Linked DNA regions of Rattus norvegicus. The protein of the gene in region 3 interacts with the protein of the main gene of each other region in a biochemical or structural test. Links are inferred from orthologs where the notes say so. Each region holds a gene or a part of one and is shown on either strand. Other genes may lie near its edges.

The links.
Region 1: the proteins of Hdac4 (region 3) and Pparg form a complex in vitro, tested with the Homo sapiens proteins (2 studies listed by BioGRID). The link is inferred for Rattus norvegicus from reciprocal best matches to the Homo sapiens genes HDAC4 and PPARG.
Region 2: the proteins of Hdac4 (region 3) and Esr1 form a complex in vitro, tested with the Homo sapiens proteins (2 studies listed by BioGRID). The link is inferred for Rattus norvegicus from reciprocal best matches to the Homo sapiens genes HDAC4 and ESR1.
Region 4: the proteins of Hdac4 (region 3) and Nacc1 form a complex in vitro, tested with the Homo sapiens proteins (2 studies listed by BioGRID). The link is inferred for Rattus norvegicus from reciprocal best matches to the Homo sapiens genes HDAC4 and NACC1.
Region 5: the proteins of Hdac4 (region 3) and Zbtb16 form a complex in vitro, tested with the Homo sapiens proteins (2 studies listed by BioGRID). The link is inferred for Rattus norvegicus from reciprocal best matches to the Homo sapiens genes HDAC4 and ZBTB16.
Region 6: the proteins of Hdac4 (region 3) and Nr2c1 form a complex in vitro, tested with the Homo sapiens proteins (2 studies listed by BioGRID). The link is inferred for Rattus norvegicus from reciprocal best matches to the Homo sapiens genes HDAC4 and NR2C1.
Region 7: of the proteins of Hdac4 (region 3) and Camk2d, one has a biochemical effect on the other in vitro, tested with the Homo sapiens proteins (2 studies listed by BioGRID, with this or other methods). The link is inferred for Rattus norvegicus from reciprocal best matches to the Homo sapiens genes HDAC4 and CAMK2D.

The regions. Positions count from the first base shown.
Region 1 is NC_086022.1:150,094,616-150,098,630, reverse strand, and holds the start of Pparg (peroxisome proliferator-activated receptor gamma), read right to left. Parts: upstream 2,801-4,015; 5' UTR 2,497-2,800; intron 1,574-2,496; exon of another isoform or gene 1,448-1,573; intron 1-1,447. UniProt on the Homo sapiens protein: Nuclear receptor that binds peroxisome proliferators such as hypolipidemic drugs and fatty acids.
Region 2 is NC_086019.1:43,770,190-43,773,689, reverse strand, and holds part of Esr1 (estrogen receptor), read right to left. Parts: intron 2,976-3,500; coding exon 2,640-2,975; intron 1-2,639.
Region 3 is NC_086027.1:100,005,638-100,009,137, forward strand, and holds part of Hdac4 (histone deacetylase 4), read right to left. Parts: intron 1,974-3,500; coding exon 1,857-1,973; intron 1,769-1,856; coding exon 1,570-1,768; intron 1-1,569. UniProt on the Homo sapiens protein: Responsible for the deacetylation of lysine residues on the N-terminal part of the core histones (H2A, H2B, H3 and H4).
Region 4 is NC_086037.1:40,383,515-40,386,600, forward strand, and holds part of Nacc1 (nucleus accumbens-associated protein 1), read left to right. Parts: intron 1-1,636; coding exon of another isoform or gene 1,637-1,644; coding exon 1,645-2,548; intron 2,549-2,628; coding exon 2,629-2,802; intron 2,803-3,086. UniProt on the Homo sapiens protein: Functions as a transcriptional repressor. Seems to function as a transcriptional corepressor in neuronal cells through recruitment of HDAC3 and HDAC4. Contributes to tumor progression, and tumor cell proliferation and survival.
Region 5 is NC_086026.1:58,070,708-58,074,908, forward strand, and holds the start of Zbtb16 (zinc finger and BTB domain-containing protein 16), read right to left. Parts: upstream 2,801-4,201; 5' UTR 2,730-2,800; intron 2,706-2,729; exon of another isoform or gene 2,459-2,705; intron 2,163-2,458; exon of another isoform or gene 2,021-2,162; intron 1-2,020. UniProt on the Homo sapiens protein: Acts as a transcriptional repressor. Transcriptional repression may be mediated through recruitment of histone deacetylases to target promoters. May play a role in myeloid maturation and in the development and/or maintenance of other differentiated tissues.
Region 6 is NC_086025.1:30,651,107-30,654,606, forward strand, and holds the end of Nr2c1 (nuclear receptor subfamily 2 group C member 1), read left to right. Parts: intron 1-2,534; coding exon 2,535-2,709; 3' UTR 2,710-3,042; downstream 3,043-3,500. UniProt on the Homo sapiens protein: Orphan nuclear receptor. Binds the IR7 element in the promoter of its own gene in an autoregulatory negative feedback mechanism. Primarily repressor of a broad range of genes.
Region 7 is NC_086020.1:217,697,223-217,701,350, reverse strand, and holds the start of Camk2d (calcium/calmodulin-dependent protein kinase type II subunit delta), read right to left. Parts: upstream 2,801-4,128; 5' UTR 2,579-2,800; coding exon 2,514-2,578; intron 934-2,513; coding exon 839-933; intron 1-838. UniProt on the Homo sapiens protein: Calcium/calmodulin-dependent protein kinase involved in the regulation of Ca(2+) homeostatis and excitation-contraction coupling (ECC) in heart by targeting ion channels, transporters and accessory proteins involved in Ca(2+) influx into the myocyte, Ca(2+) release from the sarcoplasmic reticulum (SR), SR Ca(2+) uptake and Na(+) and K(+) channel transport.

The DNA.
Region 1 (4,015 bases), on a different chromosome or scaffold from region 3:
ACTTACTAACTGAACACAATCACTTGCATACTCAGTAATCCATTTCTACGTCAAAAATGTAAAGTCATGCTTTTATCATATATGAATTTTAAATGTCAAAGGGACTTTGAAACTAATGATATGATTTTTTTTTTAGTGTGACTTTCCCTTTTTTGTTAAAGTGACGCTGAGATATGTAGTGACGTGAATGCTAAGAAAACCAGTTCCTTTAAAGGAAATGTACTGAATTATTAAAAATAGTTATCACAAAAACCATCAAAGTAGTCTTAAATATTGATGTGTATGATGCTTCTGGGTCTTTTAGTTCTAATTTGTTTTAAAGAGCTTATATTCTTTTAGATATGAAAGGGTGAGGACACAGCATGTAAAAACTCCTTGGTCTAGAGGTACCCAGAACTTCAGACTTCACGGCGCCATTGTTCTTCAGCAGTTTTAAGAGTTTGAAACTTTTACATATGAAAAAGATTTTTTTCCTTAAAAATAAAACTGTCGACAATCTTTTCCCTTCTAGTGAGCTGCAGAATATTGAGATGGCCACCAGTTGCTTTTCAGATCTTCTCACTGAAGATACAAGTCTCAGCAAATTAAAATATTGAGGTAGCACTTAAACGAGCAAATTCACACAAAACACACAGTAAAATAAAAATGGATGGCTTTGTAATATGCTTCACTCCAACTAATGCATGACACTGACTTCAAATTTCCGTATATTAAAATTAATATTTTGGACATTTACTTTAGAGCAAATGCGGTTGAAGATAAGGCCACAGAGAACTTATTTTAAAGTCGAAACCGAATCTTCTGAAACATCGCTTCCAAGTGCTCTTAGCATCTATGAGCGCGTCTGTTAAACATTCAAGAGAAGTATCTCTTTGAGAAGTCACAATGTATGTCAGCTCCTACCCTAGCCAGGCTTTAAATCACATAGCACCTGGACCTAGCTATATTTTTAGTCAGCAGTTGATCACTTAGCTATGGACAGGAGGACTCCCACAGAGCACCTGATATCTTTGGAAGACCTGCCCAAGTCCAAGACTAAGTTATTCATTTAATAACTCCGGTTAACAATTTGCTTTGTGCATGATAATAAAGAGTTGACATTATGATAATGAACTCCAAATCAAGAAAGAGGCTTTCCAACTGTTAGTTACCCTCCAACTTGGTTCATCTGGTTTTGTTTTCAAATGATCATTTCAATTTACATTTTTGTCCTTCATTCTGCTAAAGAAGAACAACTTTAGCTTCTGCCTGACAGAAAACTCAACTCTTGATTTTTTTCCTCCTCCTGAAGTAAATGACACGACCTTCCCACCGTTAGCATCAGAAGCGAAGCAGATTCTTACAGTACAAGAACACAGCCAAACCATCCTGATGTGTAAGAACTTGGGGCAGTTTGGCCACTTCACAACACCCTCTAACAAAGTGCCATGACGATGCAGCCACTCACCTACTCAATGGGAGTTAAGATGAATTTAGCGCTGCAGCCTTCTGATCACCAGCAGAGGTCCAGGCCCCTTCTTGACCTCCTCGAGTCCCTTATATAAAAGCAGCCCAGGCTACTCCCAGTTTCTGCCTCCTCACCTTAGGCTCCTCCCCACTCCCAAGCCATAAAGCACCGGAGCCACACACCCACCTTCCACCCCCACCACGAGGGCTGCCTACTCCAGTTAGCCCTGCCCTGTGCTCGCCCCCTTCCTAGGCTGAAGAGGGGCACTGGTGGGGCGGGGCCTTGGCGACAGTGACCCCATTTTCCTCACACCTGGCGAGCCCCGGGCGGGCGGGAGCCCCGGGCCAAGTTGCTTAGACGATCACCGGCGCACCCTCCTCCCCCCACCCCCAGCGCCTCGGGGTACCCGGTGGCTACTGGCGAGCCCCTCTCTGAAAACTGTCACCAGATCCACACAATGCGGCCTCCCGCGGGAGTTCTGGACCGTGCGGAGACCTGGCTTTCCTGTCAGGGTCGGGCTGCCCGGGCTACCCTGCTCCGAGCTCGCACACGCCTGCCGGAGCACCTTCTGAGGAAACCTGAGGTGGCTCCACTGTGGCCCTCCGGGCCTGCCGGGCCGTGCCCCTCACGAGGACATTCACCTTGTCAGTCACACTCGGCTCTCTAGGCGGGTGACCGGTCCTCAGCCGAGACCCCTCACTCCGACCCCGCCCCGCTATCACGCTCTCTCACTCTTCTCCTAAGTGACTTCTCCTCAGACCGCATCCCCCTCAGACCCAGACTCGATCACCTTGTCTGTCACATTTGGTCCTGTCAAGAGTATGACTTCTCCTCAGTCCCCTCAGTTAAGATTCCGTCACTTTGTCTGTCACGCTCCGTCCTGTCAGAGTGCGACTTTCCAGCCCACGTCCCCTCTAGTTGAGACAGGATTAGGCTGTCAGTTACACAGTCCTGACAGAGAGTGGCTTCTCCTCATCCCGCGTCCCCTCAGCCGAGACCCAGTCACCTAGACAGTCAGATCCAGTCCCCACAGGCCGAGGCCCCCTCACCTTGTCTGTCACACAGTCCGGTCAGAAAGTGACTTCTCAGCCCGCGTCCCCTCAGCCGAGAGAGACCTCGTCAGGCTGTCAGTCTCACCGGGTCCTGTCTGAGTATGACTTCTCCTCAGCCCGTCCCCTCAGCCTGGTCACCTTGTCGTCACACTCAGTCCCCTCAGGCCTCACACGACCCGGTACCCCAGTGCGGCGCCCCAGGTCTCTTCTTCAGCGTCCCTGCGGCGGGCCTTGTGGCCCGGGGCGACTCTGACCTGAGGCGGCGGCTTGGCGGGCAATGTGCGTCCGTGCGGCCGACCCGACCCGAGCGCCCCAGGCGGCGGCCGCTCCGAGTGCGACCGCCCCGCCTGGCCGCGGACGAGCCGAGCTGAGCGACCCGGCCGGACCGGGGGCGGTGCCCAGGGAGAGGCCGGAGGCCCCGCACCCGCAACCAGAGGCCGGCGCCCACGAGACCCGCGTGGCTCTTCAGCGCCCGGCACCCCGCGCTGGTTACCTGGCCGCCTTGCTCCTCACAGTCGCTGGGAGGCGACCCAAGAAGGTCCCACGTTCCTCAGACAGATGCCCATGGCCCGGCTGGTGCCCTGACTGTCACGCAGAAGTTTGTTTTTTTCTAGATGTACTTTTCAGTAACATTTAAAAATAATAATAATAACAATAATAATATAAATTAAGTATATTTAGGATCTCTTTTTATTTTTATTTTTACTCTCAGAACAATATGAAGGAGAACACCTTCATAAACTGACTTTGTGTTAACCATTTAATTTCCTTTTAAATACAATTTTGTGTGTGTGTGTGTGTGTATGTGTACTGAGAGGCATGGTCTCTCTGGGGCTGGAGTTACAAGTGGTTGGTTGGTGCTGGGAACTGAACAAGGGTCCTCTGGACAAACACTAAGTGTTCCTAACCTCTGAGCTGTCTCTCCTGCCCTCAAACTATTTGTTAACCTTGTTCACTAAAGAACAATTAAGAATTTTTAGAATTCTTTAGCACCATTTCTTGCATGGGGGACCTTACACACAGTGTGGAAAGGACTTGGGAATCTCTTGTTTTTAGTTAGAATTTTGGAGCATCTTGTCTCAGGAGCCTGAAGCATGCATGATGGACAGTTCCTTTTCTTGCCCTCTTTCAGCTCTTTCTGTCATGATCTGTCCTAAAGATGCACATTCAGAAAGCCGTCGATGTTCAGGACACCAGAGGACTTTCTTTTACCCTTTCCAATCTTATTGATGAAAATCTTGTTCTATGGCTCTCCTTTGGGAGGTACTGACCTTTGGGAGTTTATAATTGTGCTTCTTGCTCAGGATGCTCCTCCACTCTTAGCATCTTTGTTTGTTGGGAGACAGGGAATTCTTTATTCTTCTGGTACTAAACATCCTCACCAGGGGTTTGTAAGTATGACACTATAATGAAAGCTCAGAGCTTGAATCAACAGATTCATGTCCTTCCACCCTAAAGCCCTCAAATAATAAGACACAGATCAGGTTCATATAGGGACTCTAAAGCCCATTTTACT
Region 2 (3,500 bases), on a different chromosome or scaffold from region 3:
CTTTATTGAAGTGTTTTCTTTACCTCCTGTTGTGTACATGTTTTAATTATTTCTTTGGAGAGTACAGTGCAGTTACATCATTTCCCCCAACCTCTGTTTCTGCCCTCCAAGTCCTCCCTAAAAACCACTTTGGCCTCTCTCAAATCCAAATCACATTACTGGTTCCATTGCTGTTGTTCTACCTCGCCATGTTTCTCTTTCCCTTTCTGAAATTGCCATTATTATTCCTAAATTATCATAAATGTGGCATTCCCTATACCAGCTCGTCAGTGTAAACTATCTTTCTAAATGACGGAGGTATTTGGGTATATAAAGTCTTTTGAAAGTAAAATTTTCATTGCAAACTTCCACAGTCATCTTCAGAGTTCATCCTAAGGGCATTAGGTCTGCTCTTCTTTTTTTCATCCTTTTTTTAAATCAGTGGCTATTTTCATTCCATTTCCTCTAGATAAGTAGGCTTTGCACTTACAAAGCTGCATTTTAATGGTACACATACACAGAGAGACAGACAGACAGACAGACAGACAGACAGACAGACAGACAGACAAAGGCAGAAATAGACAAAGAGAAATAGACAGATGGAGAAATGGAGAAACAGAAAGCCTTGTGTCTCTTCATGACAGTGACACATCAGAGGAATGCATGCCTGTGTGGATCTGCTTTTCTCTACAAACTGACCCATGTTAAACACAGACCCACCAACAATGACACCTGCCCTTGCTCTAACCTATAGAACATGCAGGCCTAACTCTATTGACAAGGCCTGTTGTTATGCAAAATGTTGTTACAGGGCACATGACTGTACATAATTGCATTATGATTCTATAATTCCTTTTTCTAAGGGACCAATTCACAAAATATAGTTTAACCCAAAGATATTGGGCCCTCTTGATTAGCGTAAAGAAATTTGAGAGTAGTTTTGTTACATATGTTATCATCACACATGTCTAATGCTGAGTTTAACAATGAATTAGCTAACACGAAAATGGCATCTTTTTAGCCTTGACTTCTATTTTAATCCTAAATTGAGGCTATTTTCTTGAATCTTCCATCAATGAGTAATATAGTTGAACTCGTTCAGACAGAAGCAGAAAGATAAGTTCAGGGCCTGCCTGGACTACCCAGCAAGCGCCCTGACATAAACAACAATAGTAACAACAAAGTATCAATCATAAAATGTTAAGGTGTAACTCTAAAAATAAAGATAAAAATAAAAAAATATGCTTGGGTTCAGCATATACCCACAGTTCGGCTCTGGAACAAGAATTTTCAGGATCTCATAAGGGATATGTTTACAGAATAATAAAAACTTAATAGCAGCCCAGATCTGGTTCTCATGGGTACGGCCATTAAATCTCTTGTGGTTTCTCTTTTTCTTTTCTTTTCTTCTCAAAGTATAAAAACAGACACAAACTTCAAGGAAAAACATATATCCTTATGTAATTCCAATCCTGAGGTATCTGTATCTGCCTCACAAAACAATGCTAAAATATCTAGGTGCTAATTAAAACTTTTAGCTCTTCAGATGGCCAAGAATTTTTGTCCAACAGAACGATTCTCGAAACTTAAATTTGTTCTACGTACCCTACTTACCCAACCACCTAGATGGATGCCCTGTAGTCAGTTTGGTTCAATGGATTGCTGCCTTCTTACTCAAAGAACAGCATGTTTATATGTGGGTTTATGCAAATGCATTAAGATTCCCCAAGGGGAGATCCCCATCAACTCAGACTCTGTCAGTGACTCTGGAAATCAAGGCCCAAAATGCCACATGCATTTTAGTTTTATAAAAATGGATAAAATATCCCACATGTCACAGATCTATTGAAGCCCAAGGAGAAAAAGCTCTATATTTACATCCCCCATTGACTTAATCTGTAAGCCAGAAAACAAGAGTCCACCCTTCTGTTGCTTCGGCACAGACTTCCGCATATGAAATCCATTAGTTGAGGCATGGGACGGTCTTGTTTCCATCATAACTGGAGTCCTTTTCCTTAAACAAGAACACTCAAGAGCCATAAAGGCAGCACTTGAGAGACCAATAAGAGGGGTAGAGCATCGCTCCAGCTTCTGGAACCTTCTAAATGCTCCCTAGGACGTTGTTGGCATTGGTTTGACCACTGTGTCTTTGTTTCTCTGGACATCCCATGCAGGAAACAAGTTGAATAAATAATTGGCATTCTACAAATAAACTATCGGCCTTTAGTGTACGCCAATATTTGGTGAAGGATTACATATGGACAAACTGCCTCTCAATAAAGGTGTTTTGAATGATAGCATTAGAAATAAAAACAATTCCACAGATCCCCAAGCATTAAGTATTTTTAATATGTGATATCTGCATGACAGGACATATATGTGTGTGGTATGTAGTGTTCATCCAAGTCTTTTGAGCAAAGAAGACTGGCCAAAAACAGTATGCCTAAGGTTTTAGTCTGCTGGGTGTTTACTTTTAAATTTTAAAGGCTATTTCCTAGGTATCAAGAGAAATACAGTAGGTTATATTGACAATTGACAAATTCTAATACAGCCTTTTCTCTAATCACATAGCACACTTCTATTTCCCCCCTCACCTTACCACACCCAATTGTTGAAAAGTTATTCACTCTTTCCATGGAAGTGGAGTTTAGCATTCTTACCTGGCACTCTCTTTGCCCAGTTGATCATATGAACCAGCTCCCTGTCTGCCAGGTTGGTCAATAAGCCCATCATTGAGGCTTCACTGAAGGGTCTAGAAGGATCATATTCAGAATAGATCAAAGGTGGTTCAGCATCCAATAAGGCACTGACCATCTGGTCAGCTGTCAAGGACAGGGCGGGGCTATTCTTCTTAGTGTGCTTGATCACAAGTGGACTTGGCCAAAGGTTGGCAGCTCTCATGTCTCCTGAAGTGCCCATTTCATTTCGGCCTTCCAAGTCATCTCTCTGACGCTTGTGCTTCAACATTCTCCCTCCTCGGCGGTCTTTTCGTATCCCTGAAATCACAGAAGGATAAAGAACAAATTTGATTACCTTTTTTGCCTGTCAATCTCAGAACAAGCTCCTGGGAATATAACAATAGAATTTTATGAGTGAGTAGTAGTTGTCTCTAACATACAAGTAATTTTGTGTGCACATGTGTGTCTGTATATATGTATGTATATGAGTATGTGTAAGCATATATATGTATGTGTACACATATATGTATGACACATGTGTATTTATCTGTGCATACATGTCTGTGTTTGTGCACATGTGTATGTGTATGCTTTTGTGTGTGTTTATGTATATTTATATACATATATATGTGTGTATCCGTGTATTATTTTATGTGAACATGTGTGTATATGTGTACATGTGTCTATGTATCTGTGTATGTATTTTATGTGTTTATGTATGTATGTGTGTACATGTATGTATATGTGTACATATGTCTCTGTGTGTACATGTGTGCATGTATGCATATGTATATATGTGTATGTATATGTGAATATATGTGTACATGTGTCTCTGTGTACACT
Region 3 (3,500 bases):
ACTGGGAAAGCATCAGATCTCCCCTAGAGGCATAACAGCGGGGCTGCAGAGAGAGCAGGCGAGTGCATGCAGATGGTGCAGGGCAGCAGGGGCTGCAGGACAGACAGACCTGAGTTCAAAGGAGTGGGAAGGACTTAGAGAAGAATGTGTACTTCCATAAAGTTCCCTTGGTCAGCCTGCCCAGGAGGAGGGCTGTGGTGCAAGGCTGGAGTCTCTGCTAAGAGCTGACCCATCTGCCAGTGGTGTTGTGCTCAGACAGCGCTGAGGGACGGACGGCAGCTATGGCCACATAAGTAGAGGCATGCTGTACTACTACTTTGGCTTGGATGTTCACAGGCCTGTGCTCTACAAGCAGTATTATTCTTCATTGCTCTAGACAGTAGGGAATTTGGCCTCTAAAGACAGCTGTGGTTGAGCAGAGGAAACCCTGGTCAGGAGGCTCCTTTCCTCAGGAGAACAGAAAGAACCTAGTGAAGCCAGGATTAGAGAAGAGGTGCCGGGAAGAGTAGACGGACTGCTGGGGAGAGTGTGGCGTCTGAGGGTGAATCACAAACACAGGCCTGACATCCCAGCATTTAGGAGACTGAGGTTAACAAGGTTTAATATCAAAACAGCAACAAAGGGCCAAGTAAATACAATAAAGAGACAAACCAAATCTAAAACCCAGTCCAACCCCAAAGGAAAAGCCTCAACCAGGAGATCAACACTGACTGGTGCTGGGTGTCAGACACTGCCTATGGGAACCGAGTCTTTTCACTTTGTCACTCTGGGCTGGTATCTCATTCACAGATGGGAAGATGAAGCCCATAGTGACAGATTTCCAAGAGAACAGACAGGAAGGGGCCTAAGTGTAATGAGTGTCCCATGGTCACTGGGACACTGCTCTCCAGAGCTGGAGCCGGGTGTCCCAGCATGTCCAGATCACTGACTTGGGAGAAGCAGGTGCACACTGGAGACAAAAAGCACAAGACAGGAAGGAATCCAATACAAGCCCTACCGACCGACCAACCAGAGGCTGGCAGGGGAACACTGGAACATGTATAAGGCCAGCCCTAGGATTGCTCTGACTGTGATTCGGAGTGAAGCAATAGGTGTGAAGTCACCCACTGACCTACAGATGGTGTAGAGAGCTGGGCCGAGTCACCAACACGTAAACATTCCACATGCCATCATTTCTGAAACAGTACCTCCAAAGCATGGTCACTAGGTAAATGTCACAAGTTTATCTTTCTCTAACTTGTATTTTTCTTAATGTAATCATCCTCAAGCTGAAAAATCACTGGTCAGTTCTGAACTTCATACACTTGCTTCTTCAAGCTGTAGGGAAAACTATCAGTGGGAGAGCAGGAGGCTCAACAGAGGGCCACTGGCACTGACTTCTACTCCATGGTCAGCTTTCTAAGCAGGGCATAGTTTTTTGACGCAGCTAAGGTAGGTGGCTACCATATCACAGAGACCCATAGTTTCTCCTGTTGTATGGCTCGGATGCTCTTTCCAGTCTTCTTTAAAAGCTATAGGAGGTTAGCTATGGCTGACCTAACTGCACAGAGACCTGGCTATGCTTCTTACCTGTGACAAGGGGCGTCTGGGTGGGTGGCTGCTCCAGCAGGACCATGTGCTGCAGGAGGGGGTTGTGAGCTGCTCCACCGTCCCGCTCCAGGGGCGAGGTGCTCAGGTATGGGGTGAGGTGGGTCCCAGGGAACAAGGAGATTCGCTGCTGGAGGGCTGGGAGAGCAAGCCTCTCAGCATCCTGCTGGCCTGCTGCACCCTGAAAGGCACAGTCAGTATACTCAGGCTGTGGAAACTGAGGCAGACAACCACCCCCACGCCACACAGACTCACAGAGGCCAACTTACAGCAGCAGGGCCAGTGGCAGGAAGTCCCAGGGTGATGTTGGGCAAGGATGGTGATGTATAGAGAGGAAGTGGGGCAACAGAGCCTTCTCGAGTCACAAGTCTGTGTGCCAAGCTCGTCTGTAGACAGAAGACATTGTGACCGTCAGAGTCTGCTACAGATGTTCCAATACAAGCAGCACATCCAGGACTGCAAGGGGCACTTACAGCATGAGGTGCTGACGTGTGGTTACCTGGTGCAAAAACAAGCTGCTCAGACTGTGGCCTCCAGTGTGGGTAAGGCCTTTAAGCATGCCACAGGCAGAGAGTCAGGACTCCCACTCCTGAGGTTTTCCCCTCCTAATGGGTTCCTGCTACCTTGTTTGTTTTTATTCAACCTACCTACTTACCATAAAACTATGGATAGGATATTTAGAACAATGCATCTTAAAATATTTTTGTAGTTAGGATGTTTCCAAGAGTGACATCAAAAGCAGAAACCAGGGAGAAAGTTAATGGTGAGGAGGAGAAACCCTGTTCTCATAAAGGCAGGTGATGATGGCAACAGGATCTGCAGTGCACAGGGAAAACAAAGACTGGAGTATAAAGAACTTGTCAATCAAAGACCAATTAACATGAGAGCAGAGCTCAATAAAGACAATGACAAAAGAACCCATTTCAAGGGAAATGAAAAAATGCTCAACTTTCATCAGTGACTGAAAAACATATTTATCAAGTCATCAAACTGACAAATTTTGTAAAAGTGCAGAAAAGCTGAACCGAGTGGTCATGAGATTATAAACTGATGTCCTTTCTGCAGAATGATTTGGCAATCTGTTTGTAAGCTTTAGAAGCAGAGTTGTTCTTGATTGTGAGGCTTCACTCTCAAGATACAGTGGGAAGAACAGGCCTAAGGAAATGGCTCAAGCACCTGAAGTTAGCTACGGTCATTTAAGTAGTCACATGGAGGCAGTAATATATGGCTTCTATCTATATATCTATATATGCTCCAAGTCACAGTTAAAAGAACACATGGATTTGTACATATCAACACACAGAGGTCAGGAAATGGCCTGCTAACCATGCTAGCTGTTACTTCTGTTTATTAGTGTCATTATTCTGCCATTACTCACATTATTTCTAAGGGCAATGGTAGAGTTAGAGGTAGGCTTAGGGTAGGTTTGTCATTAGAGTTAGTGTTAGTCCTTGGCTGGGGGCAGAGGTAGTAGGCTTAGGGTTAGGGTTGTTGGCAGGGCTAGGGTTAAGATTGTGGGTAGGGTTAGGTTACAGCTTGGTATAAAGTTAGTATAGGCGCTTCCTGGGAGTACTGTGGTTCTTCAGTGGACCAGGGCTAGTAATAAATTGCACACTTTGCAGGAAAGTGAGTATGTGCAGTTTGTGATAAGGGGTGTGTTAGCTACCAGCTTCTTTTCCTGCACAGAGAGGTTTTTGGGACACTACTAGGGTGCCCCAAAGATCCCACCATGCATAACCCACACATGAGCAGCCTTCAGCCACTGCTCATTCAAGTCTAGCATTTGAAATTCAAAAGGAATGTCCACATGTGATCCAGGACTCAAACACCAGCTCGGTCTGTGACAACAACTGTCTGATGAGAAATGCCGGCATTACTGTTCTTGGGGATGCTCTGGATGCTTTAATTTGTGG
Region 4 (3,086 bases), on a different chromosome or scaffold from region 3:
ACCCAGTGACTCCTCCCCTCTGCCCTCCAGAGTTCCTAGGCCTACCACACCTAGCTTGTTACGGTCTTTCATGGATTCAGAGTTCAGGAAAGATCAGTCATTGTTAACTTAAAGTTATCTACCGAGAGAAAGCACACATTTCTCTGCTCTAAGCAAATCCCATTCTTCCCCAGCTCTTTGCTGCCTTCTGTTTTATGTTTTAATGCATTTGCCTTTTCTGGAGACTTCATGTAAATGGAATCCTATGCCATGTGGTCCTTCTGTCTGGCTTTTTCCTATCATATGAAGAACCTTGAGACTTCCCAAGTTGTTTTTCATATTCTCACCAGTGGTGTGTGAGAGTTCAAAGTTCTCACCTGGTAAGACTTGGCATATTTTACTGTGGAGATAGAGGTGGCTAGAACTTAGAACCTTGCTCACACACCCAGCCTTTTGCCTGCTTTGTTCCTGCTTTCGAGCCTATAGCATAAGGCTGTTTTGCATTATGGTTTGAATGTGCATTTTCATGGTGACTAGCTGTACGATTGGTAAGTGCGCTAAGGCCATGTTCTGGGCCATAGATGGTGGTATTGTCATGCCAACGGCCATTCTTAACATGAGTGCAAGAATGTTGGATGCACTGTGCCTGTGTCATCTTATGTGCAAGAGACTGATCTTGGCCATCTATTCTCAGAGTCTGTAGGCCCTGTATCCTCACATTCAACCAACCATAGATCCACAAAGCGTTCCTCTGATGGTAAAACGCAGTGGTAGAGTATGTACCTAGCTTCTGTAAAACCCTGGGTTCCATCCCCCAGCACTGATGAGAATATTTAAGTTTTATTTAGAATTACTGTTATTTTATATGCATGATAATGCCTACATGTGTGTATGTATGCATATGTGTCTGTTGGCTCTCCTAGAACTGGGGGAATGGATAGTTGTAAGTTTGGATGCCTGGAATCTAACCTTGGTCCTCTGCAAGAGACAAGTGCTCTAAACTACTGAACTGTCCCTCCAGCCCTTGCCCAGCGCATTCATTTTAAATCCAGATGTGATGATTCATACTGATGATGATTCATACATCTTGACCTTCTGAAGGCTAAGGCAGGATTGGTGCCCTGAGTTCCAGGCCAGCTATAATGGGAAGCGTGCCTCTAACAGAAGAGACTTTAGAATAAGGGAAGAATTACATAGTGCTGATATCAAACCAGGTAGTGTAAGTCCTGGAGATTGTGCGACATACATGAAGCACACCAGTGACCCCAGTACTCTAGAGGTGGAGACCAAGACTCAGACCAGCTGAGTAACAAGACTCAGGAGGTCTGTAGTGGAGCACTTGCCTACCACGCTAAAGGCCTGGGTTCTGTCCCAAGCTCCACCAGAAAGTGAAGGGTTTGAGTGGCTGTGCATAATAGTATCTATAGTGTCTTTGCATCAGTCCCCTGCAGGGACTGAGTCATAAAGGTGGGCCTGTGAGGGGACAGAAGTGGATGTGGAACTGCCATTCTAAGATGTATCATAGATTTTACCATGTGGATGTTACTTTGACTCCCACATGCTGTCCTACAGGAGGCGAGGTTGCTGAGGCAGGGTAGGGCCTATGTTAGTTTCTGCCACCTGACCTGTCCAGTATCTATCCCCTGTCCTTATGCAGCTGCTGCCATGGCGCAGACCCTGCAGATGGAGATTCCAAACTTTGGCAACAGCATCCTCGAGTGCCTCAATGAGCAGCGGCTACAGGGACTGTATTGTGACGTGTCAGTGGTGGTAAAGGGCCATGCCTTCAAAGCCCACCGTGCTGTGTTGGCCGCCAGCAGCTCCTACTTCCGGGACCTATTCAACAGCAGCCGCAGTGCTGTGGTAGAACTGCCAGCCGCTGTGCAGCCACAGTCATTCCAGCAGATCCTCACGTTTTGTTATACAGGCCGGCTGAGCATGAACATGGGGGACCAGTTCCTGCTCATCTACACAGCCGGCTTCCTGCAGATCCAGGAGATCATGGAGAAAGGCACTGAGTTCTTCCTCAAAGTTAGCTCTCCAAGTTGCGACTCCCAGGGCCTGCACCCGGAGGAGGCCCCATCCTCAGAGCCTCAGAGTCCTGTAGCGCAGATATTGGGCTGGCCAGCCTGTAGCACGCCACTGCCCCTTGTGTCACGGGTCAAGACAGAACAGGAGTTGGACTCGGTGCAATGCACACCCATGGCCAAGAGGCTATGGGATAGCAGCCAGAAGGAAGCTGGAGGCAGTGGTGGCAACAATGGCAGCCGCAAGATGGCCAAGTTCTCCACGCCAGACCTGGCCCCTAACCGGATGCCCCAGCCAGTCTCTGTGGCCACAGCTACAGCAGCAGTGGCTGTGGTTGCAGTGGGGGGATGTGTGAGTGGGCCCAGCATGTCAGAGCGGACCAGCCCAGGTACCTCCAGTGCTTACACTAGTGACAGCCCCAGCTCCTACCACAACGAAGAAGACGAAGAGGAAGATGCAGGTGAGGAGGGCACAGATGAGCAGTACCGTCAGATCTGCAATATGTATACCATGTACAGTATGTTGAACGTTGGCCAGACAGGTGAGTGCCGCCCTCCCTTATGTGCGTGCGTGCACGCACAAGCGTTAACATATAAACATGCTTGTCCCCTGTTCCCACAGTTGAGAAGGTGGAGGCTCTTCCTGAGCAGGTCGTCCTTGAGTCCCACAGTCGCATTCGAGTGCGGCAAGACCTGGCATCTCTCCCAGCTGAGCTCATCAACCAGATCGGCAATCGCTGCCACCCAAAGCTCTACGATGAAGGCGACCCCTCAGAGAAGCTGGAGCTTGTGACAGGTGTGCTGACTGTGCTTTCGTGCCCATCCCCTGTGCTCTGCAAGCTAGCACCCTTCCTGTGTCTCAGGGCACTTGACACTCTCCATTCCCATTTGAGCAACTGTTAGTAGCAGGTGCCCTGACGAGTGGTGTGTTAGGGTAGGAGAGTTGGTAGTGGGGATATGATTCAGCTGGTAATAACCATCTTACCTAGCATGCATAAAGCCCTGGATTTCATACCAAGCACTGTATAGACTAGGCACAGTGGTGTACATTTATAATCCTAGCACTCAGGATGGGGAGGC
Region 5 (4,201 bases), on a different chromosome or scaffold from region 3:
TGAAGCAGTGCATTGGATAAAGTGCATTGAATCCTAGCCATTCTTTAAGCCTGAGAGCAGAGCCTTCCTGTGTAAGACCAGTGTCCAACATGAGGCTCACAAACTTACTTAAAATTAAGGAGTTTTCAACCCCTCCCCTTAGTCAACCTAAGCATTCAGTCTTACCGCTCACCCCCTCCCTATTGGCAAACCCTCATCCTCAATGGCTTTCTAGTTCTCGCTCACTGAGACGGCCTTAGGAGACAACCAGAGCCTGCCAGCACTGGCTGCTAAACATGATGGTTGGTCTCCTATCTGCAGGCAATGGGGTTGTCCTCTCCTAGTCATCCCAGACACATCTCCTCTCCATCATCAGTGACTTCTACAGCCTTTGTCCTTGCACTCTGGTCAGGGCTGCAAAGGATTGGCAGACCCATTTCTTAGGCTGGGACAAACACACCCCACCACACACACCCCCACCCCACCCCTACCACATCACATTCTAGCTTAAGTCATTTCTAACTACAAGTTCCTCAAAGTTGCTGTATGTGTCCAAGAGATGTGTGTGTGTGTGTGTGTGTGTGTGTGTGTGTGTGTGTTCGCTCACCCACATCTACATACAATTATACAAGATGCTACAACCCCCTCTTTTACCTCTGGCCCACAAGGCACCAATGGACAGAACGCTCTAAGAAGAGAAAGCAGAGAACATCATAGGAGGCTATGTTCCCAACAGCCTTGAGGGTTCACACCAGACTGGATGCCTCCCAGGTGTTGGCAAGCCCAGTGACAAGGAGAAAAACTGACACTGAATATGGTTCTGTAAGTGACATTGGCACCAGCATCTCTGGCGTGAGTTAAGCCCAGAAGGAAGGGAAGACAGAGCTGAGACACAAAGGCCTCTCCCAGAGTGTATTCTGGATGACTGAGAGGCTCTCGACTTTGAACAGCCATTGAGACATGGGCAGAAAGACCTAACGGGATAAGGTCTCAACCTCTGTCTGCAGCCAACATTTCACACAGCCTGGGGAGAGAGGGTGGAGAGAGCTAGGCTTCTCACGCACTCTTCATAGAGCATGCCTTCACCCTCAACGAGAGTCTTAAGGACCCTTAGACGCAAAACTCATGCAGAAAGAGTTAACAGTACTGGCTGGCCACTCTTACTGCCCACCCCAAAGTAGAAACGGAGGGCATCAACAGTGGTGAGATATTCATTCGTCAAAAGCTTCTTGAACATGGTGTGCTTTCGGGAGAGATCAGAGATTCAAGAACTAAGGGAGAGAAGCCGAAATAAAGAAGGTTCTCTGCCAAATATCTTCCTCCAAAGGAGCCTTTTGAGCCTTAAGGGAAATCAAGGTGCCCTCTCCCTAACCCGCAGCTCCGCACCCGATCCGACTGTCGCTAGGTGCAGCGGTCAGCCGACTCTGGGCAAAGCCAGCGCTAACCCGCCACAGAGCTCCAAGGATCGATGGCGCAACACACCCCTTGTTCCCAGAGACCCCCCGCCTAGACTTGCAGAGGACTTTGGCAAACTTGGAAAAGCAACTTTTCCCCGGGAGTCAGGTGCCTGGAAGAAAGGGATCGGAGCTGAAAAAAGGAGGAAAGCGAAAGAGACCCGGGAAAGGAGAATGTCCGAGCCGGCTGGACGCCGCTGCTAGGCCGGCCGGACGGCGCAACCCCCCGGGGGAGAAAAGGAAGCACAAAAAGCCCCGAGGCAAGTGGTGGGAGGCCAAGCGAGAAGAGATCTCTGGGTCCTCCACCTTCCACCCAGGATCGAGATCCCTGGGAAGCCACCAGCAGGGTCCCCGGCCTCCCGCACCAGCTGCCGGCGTGCCCGAGTCAGACACGCTGGGAGCGTGGCGGGGAGGAGGCGAGCTGGTTGCAGCGGTGCGCGTCTGTGCATTCCGGTGGGGTCCGCAGGCTGCCAGGATCGTGCGCATTTCGAGCGCGTGCGGGAGCGTGCGAGGGGCTGGGCAAGCTTGCAGCGCGCCAGGGTGGGAAAGACATTCCGAATGCATCAGGTGCAGAGCCGGGAACCCACCGTGCGCGGCCGGGAGCGCACAGCGAGCTCCGGCTCCACGGGCTGTTCCCACCGAGAGCCGAGGAGGACCCGGAGCGCCAGAGTCTCTCCGAAGCTTCCCTCTCTCCTTAAAAGGGGGCATCAAGTCCAATCAAGAAGAAGAAAAATCCCACCACGTTTTCTCTAAAGAAAACAAAACCCGAGCGGGTACCAGTCCCCTCCCACCCGCCCTCCAGGTTCACTCCTCGCTTCCTCCGGTTCCAGCTCCCCAGCCCGCCAGCGAATAAACACAAATAAATAAGACACAATCCTAGCTCACGCCAAGCGCACCGGTCCGCATACATATGAGCACCCACAGGCTCTCTGCTCCTCCGCCAGCCCTTGCCTGTACAAAGACACCCAGTCCCCGACTATACGCTCCCGCAGCCCTGGCAGACCTCCCGGCCTGCCACCTCTCACCCGGACCGGACCGTGCCCGGAGGAGGAAGGTTGGTGAGGCAGCTGCGCCCGAGCTGACAGCCTCGGCTCCGCTTTCTAGCTGACCCCCAACCGGCACGGGCGATCGCTGCAGAAGCAGCAGCAGCAACCAGAGAACCCCGCACGAGCCCAGCGGCCGAGTGGCCAAAGCTAGCGCCACCCGCCTAAACCTCTCCCGCCCCAGGGCGCCTGGCGGGAGGCGGTCGCTGGGCGGTGCGAGTCCTTCCCGGGTTCCCTACACACATACACTTACCGCTTGCAGAGCCGGGAGCTTGGGGTGGGTGTGCGTGCCTGGGGGGTTAGGGGTGTGCCTGGATCGGGGAAGGGGTGTTGCTGGGGAACTGTTGCTCCGGATCTCACGGCGGCAGCGGCGGCATCGCCCGGCAGTTCGCAGTACCCGCTCTCATCACCCTTAACTCCTCTCTGCCGCTAGGTTAGCAAATCACCACCGGCTGCGGCGCCTCCGCCGCGTCCCACGTCAACGCCGAGCCCCCTCCCCTGCGAGGCCCCGGCGCCTCTCCATCTTTAGTGCTGGCGGCCGAGCCCGGCTCCCTGCCCACAGCTGCCCCCTCCCCTCCCCCTGGCCGGCCCTGGCCCGCCCACCCCGCCCCACCCCCGCCCTGGCTGAGCCCGTGCGCGCTCCCAGCCCTGCCCTCCCTTCCCGGGCGCTCCCCTCCCTTCCCAGCGCTCGGCGCTCCGGGCTTCTCCTGACATCTAGCTGCTGCCCCGGCGCCAGCGGCTGTTGCCCGTGGCTAGGTGGAGAGGGCAAAAGGTTGCAAGGAAGAGGAGCCGCAGAGGATCTGGCAACCCCCAAGGGGTCAGAAGGATGAGAGGGAGGAACAGTTCCCACTTTAGCACCAGGTTTTTCATTTCCACTGGGCATGCGGTTTATCCCGCGTCCCCAACTCCCCCAACTCCGGTGCTCAGGAGCGCAGTTTTGTCCCGTTCTCTATTATTTGCACCAGTGTGTGGCATCTAGCCTTTCACTTTTCCTCGGGATTCGGACTGCATCCTTCCTTACCCTAGACACTAGTTTTAAATGGGTCGTTTCCCCAGTCCCAAACCAGGCCTCTCATGCCTGCCCGCGGGGATGAGCGTCTGAGTTAGCGGGATTTGGCCAGATAAATCCAGAGGGGCCAGTAGAGAACTGGTAGGAGGTGACACCTCGGTTTTGCAATCTAGATTGTCGCAAACTGAGATGTCAAGGCCCGAGTAGTAATACTTTCTCACTCCCAATCTCAGGCATCCTCCCCTTATTTTCCCCCGGCCCCAAGAACCTGGATGGAAAGTTGTGAAGATCCTGCGCCTAGCTCAGCTCAGCCTTCCGGAGCGACTGGAAGCTACGAAGAGCGCTAGGCCGCTCCAGAGTTCTTTCTTCCCTCGGCGGCTGGCCCACTTTAAAGGGCGTAGTTGAGATGCCAAACCGTAAACCAAAGAAAAATCTGTCCTTCCTCTACCTGCGGAAAGCTCCGTCTCTTCCTTTTCACATGAAACTGGGCAGGAGATTGGGGGGGGGGGAGGTACTTTTCTGAGCTCGAGCCTCCCTCAAAAGCCCCAGCGCAGTGTTTGTTGGGGGTGTGGTGGAGAGCGCCACCCAGGGGTCTCAGAAAAGTCGCCCACACAGCCCCACCCTCAAGTCATGAGGTCTTAGTTCTAGGCTTCGGTTTAGGGATGCTGTGTCCTTGGCTTACCACGGATCTCCCACAGGAGTCACAGAATCGCATC
Region 6 (3,500 bases), on a different chromosome or scaffold from region 3:
ATGATTATACACAGGCATGCGGCATGCCTGCCCTGAGAGCTTTTGAGTAAATTTATTCCATTATTATATTCCATTTTAAGAGTAATTTAGTGTCTTAGTTAACCGTGACCTTTGAAGTGGGTAATGTTTTTGAAGGCTTAGTGCTAGAATATTTGCTCAGTGTGCATAAGGTCCTTGTTTTCTCCTCATCACTACCAATGAAGAAGAGTTCAGGGCTTCAGGTTAGTGGTAACACACATAGTACAAGGCTCTGGGTGTGGTCTCCCATACAGAGGGGAGAAACCAGCTGTTAACAATGGCTAATGAGTGCTCGATCTAAATCAGTGGTTCTCAACCTGTGGGTTGCGACCCCTTTGGGAGTCAAATGACCTCTCACAGGGTTCACATCAGATATCTTGCATATCAGACATTAATATTACAATTCATCATAGTGTAATTAACATACTGTAATTACAGTTAAGAAGTAGCAACAAAATAATTTTGTGGTTGGGGGTCACTTCTACGTGAGGAACCGTATTAAAGGATTGCAGGGTTGGGAAGGTAGAGAAATTACTGCTTTAAATTGTGAGGGTGAGAAACTGTCTGAAGGATGCAGGATTGTCAGAGCCAAACCTCACCCAGGCAGATGAGCTGTAGATCCCAACTTTTCAGATGAAATAATTGTATTAGTAAAAAGAGAGATGAAAATGATAAACTAAAACACTTATAAACTGATATATAATTAGCTTTGAAATATAGCTTATGATAATTCTTCCAAGTCATTTTTCGCCAGTGTTCTTTGGGGTTGGAGGGAATTTTCCTTTCTTATTTTTATGAAAACAGCCACCCACCTCTGAAGGAAACACAGTAGATCAGAATGATTAGAAGTACAGTTTTTGATTATACACGGATAATGCCATGTTTGCTGAGTTTAATGTCTGAGTTTCACGTTCCTTATGATAATAGTATGCCCTTCTGAAAAGTCCAGTAGGCTTCGTTATGCACAGCCTCTGTTACCCGTGGTCACTCTCAGACAAAAAACACGAAACAAGGAATCCCGGAGATTACCCATGCACTCTAAATGGCGTGCTGTTATGAGTAGCAGGAGGCGGCGTGTCGTGCTCTCTCATTTTGCCCCGCCTTTGACTGCATCCCCCTCTGCAGTACCCCTGCTTCCCCCTCTGCAGGCGTACCCTGCTGCAGACTGCTGGGGCGTTCGGCATTGACTGTCCACCTCAGTGGTCAGATGACACTCCCCGCTTTACTTTCTGACCACCCAAAGCACAAGGGAAAGGATGCTTTCTCAGTTCTTACGTTCCTGCTTATTCAAAAGTCGGTCCCCTTGAACAGCGCTTTTCCACTTCAGACACACTTGCTCACAACCTAGAATTGGACAGGAAGCAGTCCTTCGTCTTCACGCCAGCTCTGTGGAAAGAGGAAATGACACAAGGGACAGTTGAGTCATTCTTTGAGCCTAATGACCTTTTTATTTATCTATGCTCTTTATAACAGTTGTCTGTTATATCATTTCTAAGAGTGTGTGTGTGTGTCTGTCTGTCTTTTTATGTCTGTGTCTGCCTGTGTCTATGTATGTGTATCTATGTGTATATGTATCTCTGTGTCTCTGTGTCTGTTAGTGTGTCTATGGGTGTGTGTGTATGTGTGTGTGTGTCTTTGTCTGTCTGTGTCTCTTTATACTTGTGTATGTGTATCTTTGTATCTAAGTGTGTTTGTCTGTGTGTAATCTATATGAATGTGTGTCTATATCTGTGATTGTGTGTCTATGTATGTCTTAGTTAGGGCTTTCACTGCTGTGCACAGACACCATGACCAAGAACTCTAATTATAAGGATGACATTGAACTGGGGCTGGCTTACAGGTTCAGAGGTTCAGTCCATTGTCATCAATGTGGGAGCCGTCAGGTAGATCTGGTGCAGGAGGAGCTGAGAGTTCTATATCTTCATCTGAAAGCCGCTATAGCAGAACACTGGTTTCCAGGCAGCTAGGATGAGGGTCTTAAAGCCCATGCCCTCAGTGACACACCTACTCCAACAAGGCCACACCTACTCCAACAGTGCCATACCTTCTAATAGTGCCACTCCCTGGGCTGAGCATGTACAGACCATCACAGTGTGTATATGTATACTGTATGTGTGTATCTGTCTGTGTGTGTCTATATGTGTGTATATGTGTCTGTGTGTGTTTTCAAAGGAAAAGAGTTTCTGAACCTCCTGTGTTCTGATAACATAGAGCATTGTTCTTACCCTCTGAAATGGGTTGGGAAGCTGTTCTTGAGTGCACCTAACCCGTGATTTAATACTTTAGTCGCACAGTTCTTGTAGCCAGGTGGGCACAGTGTGGTGTGGCAGTTCAGAGGAAAGCTTTCCTGTGGAGGGGACGGTGCGATGTGGGTGGCAGCCCTGCCACTCTAAGCCCTGCCATTCCAAAATGCTCGTCCTCAGTTTTGAAACTTTGATCTTCATTATTTCACATGGATGCTTTTCTTTCTGCTCCTGTTCTTTTGACTTTGCCCCCGTCTCCTCTTCCTCTTTCAGGCTGTCTAGATTACTTCTCAGACTGCCGGCCTTGCGGCTGATGAATGCCACCATCACTGAGGAATTGTTCTTCAAAGGTCTCATTGGCAACGTACGGATCGACAGTGTCATCCCACACATTTTAAAAATGGAGCCTGCAGATTACAACTCTCAAATAATTGGTCACAGCCTTTGAAAGTGGAGGTCACCCTGCTCCAGGCTAAGTTTACCGTTCCTTCTCGGAACACATGAAACCAAATCGAACTGTTTCTTCCAGGGCATCTGCGAATATTAACTTTAAGAGTAACCAAAATCAAAAGTATTTTTCTTTTGGATTCCTTAAGAAGAATTTAAGTGACCAGGCAGGGGTCAGGAATTATACTACCCTGTCTGTCCTATAGGAATGAATCAACAATGGTACGGGGCTGTTCTTGGGGAGGATGACACTTAAGACTCTCTCCTCCTGACTGTCTACACTAAGCTTTCTCATTCTATTTTATAAAACAAATAAACTAGTCTTTCCCCCCTGAATTGTGTTTTTTTCCTGTTTAATGCCACTGGGCCTGTATACTGTAACAATGAGATACCTAAGCAGAAACTTCTTACGTCTGACTCATCCATGGTTATCTTAGTTACCAGGCCAAAAGGTTATTTTATGCTCAATGATGTAATGATAATGCCAGAGCTATAGGAAATAAATATATATATGCTTTTATACACATCAAGGTGCCCGTTAGCATATAACACTCGTTGCTGGCAATGAGACATGAGCCATTTGTATTTTTTTTAGTGTAGTAGATTATTAGTTACAAGCACTTTTATTCGTTGTGGTAGAAAATTACTCTTGAGAATAGGATGAGGATCCTGTTTTAAAATTTGGGATTTACTGTGTTTTAAACATAGTAGAGACGCCCCCGGGCTGTGTTAGTATTTTAGAATAGATAGTAAAATAGTTGTTTTTTTTCATCCCACAGAAAGCCTCTGTCC
Region 7 (4,128 bases), on a different chromosome or scaffold from region 3:
GTCACTGAGATGGGTCTGCACTATGGTATTCTGTTTCTTTTGATTCCAGTTTAATTCCATCAAACCATAAATTCCCTCGGAAATGCCGTAGACACCTCAGTCAGTGCAATGCCAGAATCTCGGCATATGTTATTTTGTTTGATTCTAGACAAAATAATCATAATCGCAGTCATCATAATGTGGGCACATAATGTGGGCTCCGTGTTGTTGTTGTAACTTATGTCAACAGCCTTCAGGATGAAGTATCTGTGTGGCTGTAAGCTGAAGGTTTACAATAGAGTGCATGATCTGGTGGGAAGTTGAATTCAGGAGACCAAGAAAAGGCCTAGCGTACACATAGCAAAACCAAGGTAACTTCCTAGATTACAACAACCATCTCTCCCCACTTCCCAAGGCCACTGAAGTTAAATATACCTCGATGTATTACGTTCAGCTGTAACTACACCTGTGATATACATTCAACTGAACCATGACCCATTTTTTTTTTTTTGTCTCAAAAGTGAAAGGCAATTATGACAGTTAGGAGACTTGCCTTTTTTTTTTTCAACCTAAGATCCTTCTGAAAGGATCTCAGCAAGGCCCCTCATGACATTTATTTGCTTTGCAACACATTTATTATATTACTGCATTTCGATAACTCATTGATAACAATTATATCTTTCACTTAACTCACAAAGTAAACAGACCACGAGGCCTTTGGCAAAGATGAGCATGTAATATGATGCCTAAGTCTAAAATTCAATTATAATTCCATGCTATAGTTAAAGAAAGACACCAACGACTCACACAGCAAATACGAAATTAACATATATAAATAAGTGCGGTTTAAAATACCCACCCCTAGCAGAAAGCTTTTTGGTGTTGATAATTTTGGCAGCATACTCTTGTCCAGTAGGGATTTTCATGCATCTTCTCACCACTGAGAATGCCCCCCTGGAAAGCAGTAATTAGCAATCATCAGTATAATCAGATCCAGTATCCACTTGCAAACTCACAAATCTGAGCAGTTTGATGAGTCTTTAGCGATCTGTCAAGTATCAATATAATAAAAAAGCATCATCTAGGAAATGAACGAATCTTCCCTGCCGAACCAGATCCTTTCTAATGTTGTGGAATAAAAGTAATTTTTAATTGACTGGAAACAAACAGATTATTAATCAACAAAATAGAAGGACATGCCAATTATAACCACTCTTGTTTGCACATGAAATTTGAAAACAATTTATAATTCACACTCATAAAACACCAAATGCTCATGGCAAACCCTGCAAAAAGCAGAGACCGGGAACAGAAGAAAAAAAAAACTGCTGCATGTTTATTTCGGTAGAAAACACAATTAACGTGGTTCCAAGTGAAGTAAATATGGCGATTGTTTTCATTAAAACATAAATCTCGAGCTCACTGGTGTGCTTTAACAGGTCCTGGGCTAAGGTGATTTCTCTCTGCCTGGTTTGGGCTGGGGGAGGGGAGAGATTTGAATTAAGCTGCTCTCCCGACATGTCTGCATGTTTCAACAGCTGATCATCTATAAAGATATCATTTTCGTTTGATTTAAAAAATGCTCACACTTCCTTGTATGCAACTGTACTAAAAACCTACAACACACACACACACACACACACACACACACACACACACACACACACACAAATGCATCCTTTCCCTGATAGTGGAAATTAGCGATAGAAGGACTGGTTTGGGATTTGATGCTTGTTACCAACACTCCCGACTGGGTCTCTGGTTGTCCCTGTACGATCTTCAGTAGGTACCCAGTCCCTCTTTAACATCTCAAAGTACTTCTGGCACTTCGGTGGAGGAGGTCCTTTTTCAAAGGCTAGGCTACCCTGGGGAAGCGCTCTCTCGGGCTCCAGGGCTTTTCTCTCTGCCTAGATAAATAAATCCTCTCAGAACCGAGGTACACGTAAATCCTAGAATGATGGTGAGCGAGTCACCTTAGTGCAAAGAAGGATAGCGGATACAGGGCAGGGACGTGGGTTCTGTTGGGTGGCCTTTTCCTGGACGGAACAACTACTTTGGATGCCGAACCAGACTCTCCACCAAACCAAGTTGAACTTTCGGCATCGATAAACAAGGCACCATCTCTGAGAACTAATGCTCATTAGCTCATCCTAACCTGTATCAGACCGCAGATACACCGCGGGCTGAGCAAAAGACATCTACAGAAAAGGTGATAAATGTTGCATTTTACATGCAATCTCCTTTCCTCCCCGAACACACACACACATTCACACTCGCGTGCGCGCACACTTCTCAGGATGACAGCTACAACTGCAGAGATCGTAAATTCACTAAGTCTCCAGTGGAGAGGTGGAGGACCCGAGGAGATGAGCTGGGGATTCGGGGCACCCGCCACACTAGGGCAAAGGTTTCTCCCCACTGTGCCCCACCCGCACCAAGCCATGGTCCGTCACCCCGCCTCGGCCCGCGGGCTCCCTGTCCCCACGGGGGAGACGAGGGGTCGCGGGGAGGAGGTGCCAGGCAGGGACGCTTACTTTCCGAGCTCCTCGAAGAGCTGATACTCGTCGGTGAACCGGGTGCAGGTGGTGGTCGAAGCCATGGCGGGGTCTGGACAGTGCGACGGGCGACACGCGAACAGACGCGGCTTCCCGGGACTGGCACCGCCGCGCTGTCACCCGGGGCCGCCCTCACTTTCCTTGTCCGAAAGTAGCTCGCCGGCGAGGGAGTGCGCGCAGGGGCGGGGCGCGCGGGGCGAGGTGGCCAGACCAGCCCGAGCCGCGATCCTTCTTCCTCCTCCTCCCGCCGGGCGAGCGCTCCCGAAGGGGCGGGGGGGAGGTGTCAGGAGGGGCTGCCGCGGTCACCGAGGCCGCACGGAGAGCTCAACGTAGCGCCCGGGGTGGCGGGCGGCAGTGGCCAAGAGTGAACACCCAAGGGGTCGCTCCTGCGGGCGGAGGCGGCGCTGGTGGCCTGCGCTCTCTCCCCACGGGGCCGCAAGGCTGGGAACCTGCGGGCGACAGAGTGCGCTCACTCGGCTCAGGCGAATCTGGCAGCCGCGGCTCCTCCCCGGCGCCTCCTCCCGCCTCTCCCCGCCCAGCGAAGCCCCCTCCTCGCCAGCCCCACACCTCCCTCTAGCGACTCCAGCCGCGTCCCTCCGGGCTGCTCTCCCGCAGCCGTCTAAGGAGACCGGAGGGAGGAGATGTGCAGAGCCCCGGGGAGCGCGCTTAAGGGGACGGGACAGAGATGTCGCAGTGACCCACGAAGGGACGGAAAGATGAGGGACAACTCGCAGCTCCCACACCCGGGATGTCTCTACCCCGGCAGTGATGGCCGTGATGCCGGGGAAACCGAGAGCGGGATGCAACCCTTGCATCTGGGCGCGGTTCGTGTTTACTGCTCCCAGACCCCAGCCCTACGTCTCCCGGCTCACAGTGACTACCGGGGGCTGCCAGCCCTGGCCACCTCTGCTTCGCCTGGCCGTCCCTTAGCTAGGAGCAAGGATGGTCAGGGCACCACGTTTCGATTCAGTTTTTACTTTCACCTCTTCGCCCTCCTCTCCCGTTGTTTTCCCAACTAGGGCGATCCCCAAAAGCATTTGCTTGGCCATAAAGCCTAACATAATGAAAGCAAGAAGTGCACCACGCTGCCACACCTTCCTTCCTCTCCAGAGTAACTCCCCTGTAACCTCAGCAAGTTCTGATAGTAAGAAGGGCTCTCGCGAGATGTCCCACTGTTGGTGGCAAGGGGGTGGGGCGTTAGGAAGGTTGGCTGCGGGTCACGCGACCCAGAATGGGGCTGACGTCATTAGCGTCACGTGAGCGTGTCTAGCCTGTTTCTCTTTGCAGAGGGAGAAGGAAAGGGAGAGGGAGGTCACAAGTTCTTTGCTTGCAGTCTCAAAGAGCTGGTCAGGTAGGGGCACAGGAATGTACTCCCTCAAGGGCTATCTGAAAAACCATTTAAGAGTTCAAGAGCGTGGCCTACAATTAAACATATGTGACACAGTTGCTTAAAAGTGAGCATGGAGAAAAAAATTAGCATGTAAGGTAGGTAAGTTGTAACTGGCTGCTAAGATCACTTCGGGGCCTTCTTTCCAGTTCCCAGTCTTTAATAAACGAGGCAATTGCAGATTTAGAGGACTATGGAAAATAGAAA